Neurospora crassa OR74A: one gene and its partner. The protein of the gene in region 1 interacts with the protein of each later gene in a pairwise test. Links are inferred from orthologs where the notes say so. Each region holds a gene or a part of one and is shown in the gene's direction. Other genes may lie near its edges. The genes, in order: NCU02036 and mus-40.

The links.
Region 2: the proteins of NCU02036 (region 1) and mus-40 interact in binary tests that used the Saccharomyces cerevisiae proteins (3 or more experiments, as listed by UniProt). The link is inferred for Neurospora crassa OR74A from reciprocal best matches to the Saccharomyces cerevisiae genes SEN1 and RAD2.

Annotation. Positions count from the first base shown.
Region 1 is NC_026501.1:1,602,075-1,604,898, reverse strand, and holds part of NCU02036 (tRNA-splicing endonuclease), read left to right. Parts: coding exon 1-2,824. UniProt on the Saccharomyces cerevisiae protein: ATP-dependent 5'->3' DNA/RNA helicase required for the expression and maturation of diverse classes of non-protein-coding RNAs like precursor tRNAs, rRNAs and small nuclear (snRNA) and nucleolar (snoRNA) RNAs.
Region 2 is NC_026501.1:403,405-407,325, reverse strand, and holds the start of mus-40 (DNA excision repair protein Rad2), read left to right. Parts: upstream 1-1,027; 5' UTR 1,028-1,323; coding exon 1,324-3,921. Other genes in the region: NCU07497 (hypothetical protein), read right to left, coding at 1-266, 376-519. UniProt on the Saccharomyces cerevisiae protein: Single-stranded DNA endonuclease involved in excision repair of DNA damaged with UV light, bulky adducts, or cross-linking agents. Essential for the incision step of excision-repair.

The DNA of each region.
Region 1 (2,824 bases):
CCCTGACCCCTGCGGAACATGCTATCGTCAAGGGATGGTGGGATTGCGAATGGAGAGCCGTCGGCCACTCGTTCGGATCCATGAGACTCTGGCACGTGAAGGTGGACAAGAAAGTCATGGAGGACTTTTGTCGTGATGTGATGGAACTTGCAGAGAAGCTCCTCGCCCAAGACGGTCTCATGGCTTCGGCACTTAGCAGTCCTCAAAGCATCTCGGCGACAAACGGTGACGACGGCTCAGAGGGCATGAAGTTGGTCCTGGAGCCGCCGAGAATACACTCGCTTCCCTTAGTGGACATGTTGCAACTCCGCGATAAATATCTTATCGCCGGTATTATCGAAATCACCAAGAAGTTGATCAAGCGTCTGCAAGACAACGGCATGGATCTTCCGCCAAAAACAGTCGCCTATCTCAACAATATGCTGAAGAAGAGGAAGATGACTGATGGGCGAACGGACTACCCCATAAAGACGAATCTCACCAACGAGCAACGGATCGAGCTACTCAAGGCGCTCGGGGACGATGCTGCCATCGAAGCGCAGTTCGTTGGTGGAAAGCCTGTGAAGCAGGAGGTCAAGCCGGTTATGAAACAGGCAAAGCTTGATTTCTCAAAGGCATCACTCAAAGACCACATTGCCTCGCTTACGCCTGCCTTTGAGAAGGCCACTGAGAGGCGGAAGAATGCTCTGTTGGAGACGATGAAGGCTGAGGCTCCAGCCAAGGCTCCTCCCAAAATCGACTCAAAGGCTGCCGACAAGATCAAGGAGGCTAGGCGGCTTGAGCGAGAAGCCAAGGCCAAGCGAGATGCTGAGGCCATCGCGAGGGCAAAGGCCCTGCGTGCGCCACCGAAGCTGGTCCAGGGAGAAGGCTCAGGTCTGGCTGGTGTTGCTGGAGTTCGTGGCAAAGACCACGCCCCAGTGCTGAAGGATGAGATCATGGTTGGTTCATCATCGGAAGACGAAGATGAGTCTGACGATGACGAGTTGATCACACTCCATGCCGCTGGAAAGAAGAATATGACTGAGGCCGAGCGTCGCGCCCATCGGTTGTTGGCTGAGAAGATGCGCGGACCGGTGAAGAAGGTCAAGATCGAGCGGTCCGCCAAGGATATGCGCGCTCGCCTTATTCCCCCTATGGATGTGTTGCACCAGGCCATCTTGGAGTGGGACATCTTCCACGAAGGTAACGATCCGCCGAACGGGTACCGTTGTGATCACGTCTCGGATACCTACCAGGACCCGGTCAGCTACAAGCAAACCTTCTTTCCGTTGCTCATCAATGAAGCCTGGCGCTCGTTTGTCACAGCCAAGGATGAAACCACGTCCAAGCCCTTTGGCATCAAGGTACTTAGTCGCATGACAGTCGACAAGTTCATGGAAGTTACGGCGTCGGTTCCAGTTGCAATCAACAAAGACCGTCAATTGTCTGAAGGAGATATTGTCATCATTTCCAAGGGCCAAAACCCGCTTCAAGAGCCAGAAGAGCTACACTGTCTTTCGCGTATCTGGAAGACAACTTACAAAAAAGACAATGTGGAGGTCGTCTACCGCCTGAATGCCAAAGGGAACCAAATTCTACCTGCGCTACTGCCTGGCTCGGAGTTTACCGTTGTCAAGATCACCAACATGACGACCATTGAACGCGAGTATGCCGCCCTGGAAAGTTTACAGTACTATGATCTTATGGACGAGGTATTGAGGGCTGAACCGTCTCCTATGCTGTCTTTTGGCGAGGAGAACATCAAGAACACCATGAAAAACTGGAATCTTAACCCAGGTCAAGCGAAGGCGATCCTGAACGCCAAGGAGAACGATGGGTTCACCCTTATCCAGGGTCCTCCAGGTACCGGTAAAACTAAGACCATTGTGGCAATGGTTGGCTGTCTTCTGACCGGCGTGCTCAAAAACCCTACCGCTGGGGTGGCCATTGGGCGTCCGGGACTCGGAGCTGCGAAGAACAACGCTCCAGCAAAGAAGCTGCTTGTTTGCGCGCCCAGTAATGCCGCTGTGGACGAATTGGTGTTGCGCTTGAAGAATGGTGTCAAGACCCAGAACGGAACAACTCACCAAATTGAGGTGGTCCGTCTCGGTCGCAGTGATGCCATCAACAGCGCAGTCAAGGATGTCACGCTTGATGAGCTGGTCAAGGCGAAACTCGAGGCTCAGTTGAACAAGGATGAAGGCCCGACTGACCGGGAGAAGCTGCACCAAGAAGCGGGCGAGATCAAGCAGAAGATTGCCGAACTCAGACCTCAACTGGAAGCAGCGCGCACGATTGACGACAGGCAGCTGGTCAACAAATATCAGCGGGAGTTCGACGAACTCAAGCGGCGCCAGGCGCACATCGGAGCGCGCATCGATGCGGATAAAGCTAGCGGCAACACATTTGCTAGAGAGACCGAAATCAAACGCCGACAGGTCCAGCAGGAGATTCTGGACAAGGCTCAGGTGCTGTGCGCCACTCTCAGCGGTAGCGGTCACGAGATGTTCAAGAACTTGAACGTGGAGTTTGAGACGGTCATCATCGATGAGGCGGCGCAGTGTGTGGAGCTCAGTGCGCTCATTCCCCTGAAGTACGGATGCTCCAAGTGCATTCTTGTCGGTGATCCTAAGCAGTTACCACCTACCGTTCTCTCGCAGTCCGCTGCACGGTACGGCTACGACCAGAGTTTGTTCGTCCGCATGCAGAAGAATCACGAGAAGGACGTACATCTCCTCGACACCCAGTATCGTATGCATCCTGAAATCAGCTCCTTCCCCAGAGCCGCCTTTTACGAAGGTCTCCTACAAGACGGTGACGACATGGCCAAATCGCGCCTCCAGCC
Region 2 (3,921 bases), about 1.2 Mb from region 1:
AACCCTAAATGGCGCGAGGTGAGGTCGACTTTTACTTTTCCTGCTGAGGAGGAGGAGGAGGAGCTGGTGGCGCTCTCGTAGGCCTCTTGGGGAGTTGCTGAGAGAGAAGGATCTGAGTCTGAAGGTGCAGAGAGTGCAGAGGAGGAGGTGATTGTCGTGCCGGTGGGGGTGGGGGTAACAGAAGAAGAGGAAGTAACGGCGGCGGCCACTTGGGAAGAGGTGGGGAAGCGGTATTCGTAGGCTGAGTGGAGGATTATGTTGCTTTCCTGTTGATATGTGTGTGAGTGATTTGGTGAATATGGGACGGGGGAATTAGAGATGAAAAAAGAAGTAAGAAGGGGAGAAAGGGTAACAAGGGATGAATGGGAAGCTTACTGCATCAACACACTTGAACTGGCCCCAGAACATGCGGCCGTCAGTCACGGAGACTCGAAGGTTTTTGTTGAGGAGGGAGTTGAGCCAGTCTGTGGCGTCGTCCCTGTCTTCGGGGAGGAAAGTGATGTTTGGGTCTTCGCTCATGGTGAAGGATGTTATGTTATGTGAAAGTGGTGTACAGGTGAGGTGTTGTCGCCGGGGTGGTTTCGGTGAGTGAGCAAGCCGGGATAAAAGAGATGGATGCCTAATCGGTGAATGTCTGATGATGCTCGTATGCCGTGTGTGATGAATAACGGGTGTTGCTACTGAAAGAGCTTTCCAATTGTATTTTTGATCGAGCCAAGTAACCCCCGAACAAGTTGTAGAGCCCGTTGATGTGTTCAGCGCCCGCGCCGTCTTGAGCTCTGATGTTGACTTCTGTTGATGTTGTGTTCAGGGTTGAGGGAATGGGCTGTTTTTGTGTTGACCACTGCCAACCCTGGGCCCAAGCTTCTGTTCTCGGAAAGTGCATCATGGGGCAGGCATCCGGCTTATTGCATAAACAGACAGGCGATAAGCGATAAGAGTCAGCCGGCAGGCAGCAGCCGGATCGCCGTCAACATCATGGCTTCGATGATGAGCGTGAACTTGGCACTTTGTCATCACTGGAATTCTTCACGTCACCACTACAATACACTTCAATTGAATGTGATTGTTTACCTCTGACCTTTTCTATTACCATGAGTTTCCTCACACGACCAAAGTGAAAAACTGCACCTTATTCGGTCATTATAACTATCTCTTTGCCCTGGCGTCACTCCCCGTTAGCGTGTTTGTGCCGACTAACAGCGCCCTTCGTTGAGCACCTTGACGACCTCTTCTACATCAACATCACCACCACTACCATCACTGCCATCACCACCATCACTACTACCAATACCGAGTCACAATACCGAGTAAACACCCACCATGGGTGTGAATGGCCTCTGGACCGTCCTCCAACCCTGTGCCCGCCCAACCAACCTCTCCACCCTCAACCGCAAACGCCTCGCCATCGACGCCTCCATCTGGATCTACCAATTCCTCAAAGCCGTCCGCGACAAAGAAGGCAACGCCCTTCGCAACAGTCACGTCGTCGGTTTTTTCCGTCGAATATGTAAACTACTCTGGTACGGCATCAAGCCCGTCTTCGTCTTTGACGGCGGCGCCCCCGCTCTCAAGCGCGCCACCATCCAGGCTCGCCGGCGAAGACGAGAGGGCAGACGCGATGACGCCACGCGAACGGCAGGGAAATTACTAGCGGTGCAGATGCATCGTATGGCAGAGGAGGAAGACGAACGGAGGCGCAAAAGGGCAGAGGCACGAGAAGGCAATAAAACGGCGGCAGCAGCAGCAGCAGCAGAAGAAGAAGAACAGGAAGTACTGCCCGACATGGACAAAGTCGTTTACGCCGACGAATTAGGCATGTCAAAACAAGAACGCCAAAAGTCTCGACGCTTCCACAAGCAAGACGCCTACCATCTTCCTGACCTCGACGGCGGCATCGAAGCCATGGGCAAGCCGGATGATCCGCGCATCATGTCTGTCGAAGAACTCGAAGAGTACGCTAGGCAGTTTGAGAACGGGGAGGATATCAACTTGTACGATTTCAGCAAGATCGACTTTGATGGCGAGTTCTTCAAGTCTTTGCCGCCGGCTGATCGGTACAACATCTTGAATGCGGCGAGGTTGCGGAGCAGATTGAGAATGGGGTTGAGTAAAGAGCAGTTGGACGTCATGTTCCCTAACCGGATGGATTTCAGCCGGTTTCAGATTGAGAGAGTCAAGGAGAGGAATCACTTGACGCAGAGACTGATGTACGAGATGGGCATGACGGGATTGGATCTGACGCTGGCAGTCAACGCGACGAGAGTGGCGGGCGATCAGAATAGGGAGTATATCCTGGTCAAGAATGAAGGTGCCGAAGGCGGATATGCGCTGGGAGTCGTGAGTACAGAGAAGGATAAAGGACAGATGACCAATCCAATTGATGTGGACGAACTCGAGTTTCAGTTTCAGGGCAAGGGAGAGGAAGAGGAGGATTCGGAAGAGGATGTCGAGTTCGAGGACGTGCCAATTGAGGGGTTGAATCGGTTGCCCAAGCTGACTAGGGCTGCTGGTTACAGGCCGAGGGGGACTGCGAATTCGAGGAGGCAGTTCTACGAGCCGAGACAGAGTGAAGAGGCGGAGGACGAGGACGAAGATGACGAGGCCTTGTTTGTTGACAACGGACAAGATGCCGTCTATGGAGAGGAGAATGCGGTCGAAGCTGATGAGGAAGAAGACCTCAACAAGGCTATTGCCATGTCTCTTCAGAATCAGCATGGTGTTGGTCTATCAGAAGAGAAGGAGGATGAGGATATGGAGTTCGAAGAGGTTACTCCGCCAGAGTGGACGCAGAAAGCGGTGGAAGCGCCCAAGCCCATTGTTAGTACCAGTGGTCGCATGGTCGCACACATTGTCAACAACAGGGCGAGTGCTGCCGTCCCAAGGCGAAGGGAGAGTACCGACAGCAGTGACAGCGAGGGGGATATTCGAGCAGCCATGGCCGCTGCCAGGAGGAAGCAAGCAAAGGCTCCAGCGCCAAAGCCAGTGGTCGAAAACCGCCCTGCTCCTACCAACACTCCCTTTAAAGGTCCCCTTCCATTTGAGAAGCTGAACTGGAAGCAACTGCTTGGGGGCAACCGACCGAAAGCAAAATCTCAGAAGGAAAAGGTGTCTGAACCGCCCAAGCCAGTTGAAACTGGTGAGATGGAACCTCAGTCTGATGACGATGCTGGCGGTTTTGAGAAAGAGCCGAAGGATGCTCCTCGTCCACTACCGCCATGGCTAGCGAATAACGACGAAGACATTCGCGACACTGTACGGAAGCAGCGAGAACAGGACAGGCAGATGGCTGAGGAGGATGAAAACTTGGCTCGAGAAGAGCAGGCCAGAATTCGAAAGCAACGAGAGGATGAGGTCATGATGATTGAGTCATCCGATGAAAGTGATGGTGATTTGGAGATCCTCGATGCTCCTCCATCGCCCAAGAAGCTCACTCAGATGCCGGGGCCTAGCTTGCCTTCTTTGGACGACGAAGTGTCGCAAGAGCCAGTTGAAACCAGCCGTCAATCACCCTCCCCTAATGAGGAAGAAGGCGACGACATTGTGTTTGAAGACGTAACCCTTCCGTCTCAAACCATGACCCTCTCCTTCGGACCACCCGCAACTCAAGCCGAAGAAGACGCCCAGATCGAAGCAGACCTCTTCAAAGACGTCCTTCCTCCACCTGCCCAACAGGAACGAGTTGAAGGTTTGGCGGCGGTTCCAGACGATACCACCACTGACATCGTTCCCGACCCCGACGCCCCCGCCCTCTCCGAATTCGAAGACGACTTCAGCGACCCCGAAGAACAAGAACTCCTCGCTTCCCTCGCCCAAGAAGCCGAAGAACACGCCCGCTTCGCCACTCAACTCAACCACAAAACCTTTCAAGAAAACCAAGCCGCCTACGAACAAGAACTCAAAGCTTTACGGACCCAACAA